Drosophila melanogaster: one gene and its partner. The protein of the gene in region 1 binds, or shares a complex with, the protein of each later gene. Each region holds a gene or a part of one and is shown on either strand. Other genes may lie near its edges.

What was found.
Region 2: Lamtor3 (region 1) and Lamtor4 share a complex: the UniProt entries of both Drosophila melanogaster proteins name them as parts of the ragulator complex.

The regions. Positions count from the first base shown.
Region 1 is NT_033779.5:17,479,343-17,482,537, forward strand, and holds Lamtor3 (late endosomal/lysosomal adaptor, MAPK and MTOR activator 3), read left to right. Parts: upstream 1-1,888; 5' UTR 1,889-1,991; coding exon 1,992-2,035; intron 2,036-2,113; coding exon 2,114-2,444; 3' UTR 2,445-2,695; downstream 2,696-3,195. Other genes in the region: fws (four way stop), read right to left, coding at 1-900, 954-1,559; GCS2beta (glucosidase 2 beta subunit), read right to left, coding at 3,105-3,195. UniProt on the Drosophila melanogaster protein: Regulator of the TOR pathway, a signaling cascade that promotes cell growth in response to growth factors, energy levels, and amino acids. As part of the Ragulator complex, may activate the TOR signaling cascade in response to amino acids.
Region 2 is NT_037436.4:3,894,981-3,898,017, forward strand, and holds Lamtor4 (late endosomal/lysosomal adaptor, MAPK and MTOR activator 4), read left to right. Parts: upstream 1-1,919; 5' UTR 1,920-1,956; coding exon 1,957-2,111; intron 2,112-2,167; coding exon 2,168-2,375; downstream 2,376-3,037. Other genes in the region: Gr63a (gustatory receptor 63a), read right to left, coding at 19-1,128, 1,204-1,353, 1,414-1,623; Ccz1 (Caffeine, calcium, zinc sensitivity 1), read right to left, coding at 2,479-2,960, 3,024-3,037. UniProt on the Drosophila melanogaster protein: Regulator of the TOR pathway, a signaling cascade that promotes cell growth in response to growth factors, energy levels, and amino acids. As part of the Ragulator complex, may activate the TOR signaling cascade in response to amino acids.

The DNA of each region.
Region 1 (3,195 bases):
TATAATCTCCCTAGCTGTTCCCGGTGTCTTTTCAAAGTGCACATGAAGATCACTGAGCATGCGACGCACTGAATCCTTATAGTAGAACAGAACATTCGCCAGCTGGGTGTTTTGCTGCTGCTGCAGATTGGGCAGATCCACGACCTGCTTGGAATCAGCTCCCAGCTTGATTTGAGCCTCTAGTTTTGTGCACAACTCTTTTCCACAGGCCGCAAATACATTTGCTATGGCATTCGTGAGACGGGAATCGATCAAAGCAGCACTGAGCTCCGTTGATGCCACACGAATAAAGTTGTCCACCGTTTCGTTGCCGGGCAAATCGACTCCCGCCAGACATGCCTTAAAGTTGGCAGCACACTTGCTAACGTAACCCACTTCCAGGGGAGCAAATAGTTCGTTGTCAAACTGAAACTCGCCATGCAGACGCTGCTCCAAGCCACGAGCGGAGGTCAGGAGCTTTGAGAGCCCCTCCTGAAGGGTCTGCGTAACATGCTGGGGGCATTCGTCAAAGGATTTTCGCAGGAGCTGCTGCACCTGCTGCCAAAAACGCTGCGGAATGCACTGATCCGATGATTCTGATGTATAGCCAAACTGGTTGATCTGCTCGAGAGCCGTTTTCAGCAGCTTGATTTGCGTGCAAGTCTCAAAAAGTTCATCATAGAGCAGCCAATGAAGAGACTTCCAGAACTTGGCACGGAAGTTTTGAGTGGTTGTCAACTGGGGAGTTTTTCCTGGTCCCCTCGAGGGAGCAGGTTTGCTCACATTGTGCGTCGGGGACTTGTTCAGCACAGATATATCGTTGCCAGCAAAGCACTCTTTCAGAGATTGCTCCATGTCGGCAATAAAGGTGGCCAATAGGTTATCCAGCGATTTTTCCAGCGTATTGAAATTCATAAAGATCTAAGGAATAAGAACTCTTAGGTATATGCTAGAAAAATGTTTGTTATATCCACCTTCAAGGCATTAACCACTTGGTTTTCATTGCGCTCCTGGAGCCCAGTGACCAACTGCATCTGCGTGAGGTTCCTTATCTTCTGAGCAGAGCTGATCACATAAGCTCGCTCCTGCTGGATAAAATCAATGTCCTTTAGCTCCTTATCTTCGATGAGTTGGCCCAACTCAAAGTGGATTTCGGCCAGGCGTAGGACATCCTTGGTCGCTTTTAGTTTGGCCGTGAGGCTCAGCAATGTTCCAGCCGAGCGGAGTAGGTGACTGACATCGTGCAGACGCCCTAGCACTTGCGTTTGGTTCTCCACCTGCTGGTACTGCGTGTCCACCTGGTTCTTCAGCCGGTGCCCAGTTTCCCTGACCCGCTGCACATCCTCGGCGAGCGCGTTTAAAGCCGCATCGAAGCGCCCAGCGTGGGTGGCCTGCTGCAGTAGAGCTCCGTGCTTGTCGCGCACCTGCTGGTGCAGCTCCTCCTTCGTGTTCTGCAGTTGCTTGGACAGCTCCTGGATTTGCTGGCCAATGGTCAGGTGCGACATGGATGCGGTAAAGTCATTATCATCCGAATCCGCTGCGTTTGGGGTCTTTGTCGCTACCGGGTCTCCAGTCACCATGATGCAGAAGGTTTTAATCTATGGTAATACGAATTATAAGCTGGTATTACACTTTTATTTCCATTACTTGCAGCAATTTTACGTATTGCAAACAAACTGTTTTTCCACGCAACCAAAAACAGGCTGTAATCGATAAATTTCCAGTTGAGCGGGGATTGAATTTTTTGAAGGGGTTTCTAAAAAACTATATAAAGTATTGCGTGATAGCTTAATAATATAATATTTAAATAATAATGTTAAAAACTAGCCGCATCCTTTTTCCGCTTGCTGAAAATATTTTACTTCGACCGCCGACTACGCCCCTGCCACATGAACTTATCGATAACTTGAGGCAGCTGTTGCTCACTTTGTTTTGTGTAAATAATTGGATGCGGAGAAAAACGTATTATTATTGCCATACCTTCTCTAGTCTTTCGCTTTAACAAATTTTCCATGTCGGACGACATCAAGAAGTATTTAGACGGCCTGCTGCAAAAGTAAATATTCCACAGGAAAGGCTGTTCCCAATATGATTAACTTATAATTTTTCCCCCATTCCCCGATTTACACAAAAGGGTCAGCGGGCTGTACGTTATTCAGATTACGGATCGCGACGGAGTGCCCCTCCTGCGGGTTAGCCAGGAGAAGAACGTGGACTTCGCCCTGATGCCCTCGTTCATACCCACATTCACCACCGCCTGCGATCAGGCCAGCAAACTGGGATTGGGCAGAAACAAGACCATCATCTCCATGTACTCCAATTACCAGGTGGTCCAGATGAACAAGCTGCCGCTCATCCTGACCTTTGTGGGCGCGGAGAACTGTAACACGGGACACATTCTCGCACTGGAGCACCAGGTCGATGGCTATTTGGAGGACATTAAACAGGCTGTCACCGAGGCCTAAAGTTAGTCTACCTTGTAATATGCATATTTTTAATATTTACTAAATGTTTATACATACATACTTTATTGAGAACAGAATGAGTTTTTAAAAATCTCAACTCACCATTGTACTATTCCGGGAATTTATTTCATATCCTGCGAAGGGTGATCTCAAAGATGAACAAAGTTCCGAGTCCTCCGTTTTGGCAACAATATCAAATATGCAAACTATTGACACTTTATTTAAAATGAAAAATTCTTGCTGCCTAAAATGTGTACATTCAATTAAATTTCTTCATATAGTTTCTCAATTATAATATACTTTTCCCTATACCTTGAAATCGTCTGTGCTCAAGTATCACGAAAGTAAAATATTTGTATGTTTGAGCTCAAGGAAACCGACTTTAAATCAACATTTTCATTCAGTGATGTTATCTGTTTTAAAAATACTAGGTGTTTACACTTTATTCAGAATGAAACTTGATGTACTTTTTGCTTAAATGCATATACTGAGTTAATTAGCTACAATTCTTGATGGTTTTCCTGCTGCAGTTTGGGAATGATCTCGACAAAATTGATATTCTCCTTTAAAACTAAAATACAATCCCCAAATCTCTGGTCTACGCATGCCAAGCATTCACATTTCTCTGCGGCTCATCCTCATCGTCGATTGTTGAACATTTCAGAGTTCGTCGTGCAGATTCTCCGATTCGGACTGGAAAGCTTCGCTGTCGCAGGCGGCGGGAGTTTCGAATTCAAAGTAGTATTCACAG
Region 2 (3,037 bases), on another chromosome or scaffold:
TTAGGATTATTTGTTCCACTAGCCTTTCCGGCCCTTTAGCTTCATAATTGGCGGTGGCAAAGTGGTTCCTACAGTGGTGGTGCTCAGAGTGCTGGCTCCCATTAGACTCATATCGTTATCCAGGCTGTCCATTACAAAGTCCACTACGGTTATATTGTTAGCGCCTTCAGAATCCCCCTTATCTGTGGGGATACTGATCTGAAACTGCAGCAAAACCACCAGATAAGTGACCATTGTGGTTAAGAGTCCTTTAAAGAGAGTCCTGTTCACATCAAAAAAGCCACCGCAGTTGATGGTCGATGGATTCATTTCGGTGGCTCGCAAAAACATATTTATCTCCGTCTGGGCATCCGAGTTCATCCAGTTAAGCTCCACCATGAGTAGTTTCTTCTGGAAATTGGTTCGCACATTAACCGAGGCATAATGTGCCTCATCGCAAATATAGAAGAGCAGTCCTATGTTCCACAAAGCCGTGATAGTCAGTCCTATGTCCTTGATGCCAAATCCCTCGGAGAGTTGCGACATTAGTCCATAAATCGAAAGGGTAATGATGAAGAACAAGTAGAGGCTCATGAAAACAAAGGTGTAGCACAGGGCATTTCCAGTATCACGGGTCAACTTGCTCAGTCGTAGCCACAGAACACGGTAGTCTGCCACCATGGCAGCGGGTCCAATGTGTTTCAGTGCCTTCTGGAACCGCTCCGCCAGAAGATGAGCCGTAATGCTCATGGCCTCGCAGATGAGGAACCACCAGGCACCCAGCATTGCAGTCAAGTTGTCCAGGATGCAGTAGGGCACCACCTGGTTAATGTTCAAATCCGACATGGTGACGTGCGTGATGACCACCGATAAAACCGAGAGAATTGGCAGCACGATGGCTATGTACACCGCCTTCTGTCGCAATTTCAGAGGCAAACTGTGCCCGGATATCTGGTAGTACAACACCTCAAAGTCATCCCAATCATTGAAGAGCTTTGCTATCTTCCTGGCCTCGTACCACAATATTGGTATAATCATAATGGGCAGGATGTTGACCAGAAAGAGGTATGCAATAACCGCCTCCTCGAAGGGTCCACTCAGGGAGCGCACAATGTGGATGCGGTTGTTGGCCACATAGCCTACATAGCACTGTAAAGCGGTTTTGGGTTACATAATGGTATCCATAGTCAATTTTGAAAAATGTTATGCAAACACCACACTCACCGCCAGGAGCACAAAGAAAACCACCGAGTAAATAAAGGAGGCGGAGTTCATTTCGAACTTGGCACGAGCAGGACCATGTCGCACGATGGGTAATACTCCAATAATCCTCAAGAACCAATTGATGGGATCTATGTTTCGGTAGAAAACACTCTGAAAGCAGCGAAATTCAGTTTTACAAAAATGGTTTTAACAGCGTAGCAATCCACAAACCGGCTTAAATTCCGGATTATTGGACGCCGTGCTGTCCGAGCTCTTTTTCCTATCCAACGGAGGAGCTTCGTAATCCGCATCCAATCGCTCCGCCAATCCAATGGAGTACTTGCGGACCCCGTACAAGTATGCCTGGGCATTAGCACTGTTCAGCGGTTTTGCATTGAGGAACACCGCGTCACCCTTCTTGCGTCGATAGTAGTTGGCCATTCCGGAGAGACTGTGTCCGGAATTTCCTTGTCCGTGGCCTTTTACCACTTTTTCGCCAGACGGACGCATTAGCCATGCACCTGCACACGCCCCCTTATCGACCACGCCCTCTGTTGACTTAGAGCCGGAGTTTTAGTTTCCTGTTGATGTGCGTTGTTTGTCTTTTGAATGAATTAACCTTAGCCCGGTGTCCCAATTTCGAATTTGTGTCAATGGCGCGCATGTGGCAATTTACAACACTGAAACCGGGCTGCCAGGCTACCGATTTGGTATCTAAATGGATCTAGTCCGGTCACACTGGTGGGTGTGGGTGCGAAAGATAAATAAATAAATATGTTGAAAATGGACAGGGAAAAGTTGATTGTGCCCAATCAAATTGGCTATCTGATACTAAAGGAAGATGGAGCAGTTCTGGAGTCCGGCGGAGATCTGAAGAACGATGAGCGCAGTGCAAATGTGATAATGGGATTACTAAATCTCACAGAGACGTGCGTTTTTAAACAAAGGATGAAGGAATTTTGTAATAATTACGCCTATATTGTAGCATCGACGAGTCCTTCATGCCGAGCAGCAGCTGCGAGAGGATCACCATCGATTACGAGCATCACTACTACAGCATCTGCATGTCCAACCGTAGAATATACATCATTAAGATCAGCAAATCGCAGAATGGCGTCACCACGACCACGAGCTCCTCCTCGTCGAACAGCGTGTATAACGATGCCAGCGATTCCGGGGCAGTGCTGGCTTGAAATCCGTCGTCGGATGTCCGACCCACTTGCAGATTCTGTTGGCAAGCAACCGGACAAAGACCCCACAATTGGCGCACTCCCATTATTTACCTAATCCTCCTCTTTATTTGTCAAAAAATACATCATCTGTGAGCTCTTGCTCGAAAATGCGCCTCGCTTCCTGGGTGACGTCCAGCAAGGTGGCCTTGCTATTGCACAGGATCACATAGTACTGCCTGTAGTTACAGCGCCGCTTCACAATCCAATAGTCATTGGTGGTCTTGACCTGAACTTCCTCGGCAGGAGCACTCTCCATTTCCGCCTTGCCACTGCCATTGGCCAAGTCCGCAATGATACTAAGCACATTGCGGGGCAGCCCTTGGGGCAGGTGCCTCTGAAAGTTCGTGTGGTGCTGCAGGCTTTGTTCGTTAATGAACAAGTACTTCGGCGCCGTTTCGCTGTTCCCGCTGGAGTTGTCCTGGCCTGCAGCACCCACCGCCTCCTTTGTCAACTCGCTGGATATGTCCCGGGCCAACGAAGTCAGTTGGGGAGCCATGTAGGCATGGAGATCGTCGTAGAGATCTTGTTTCGGCGCAACCTGGTCAGCTGACAAATGTGGAATGTTTCAAGTTGATTATTTTGGCTATTTAGTTCTAATCCTTAACATACCATTCAGAAACAGA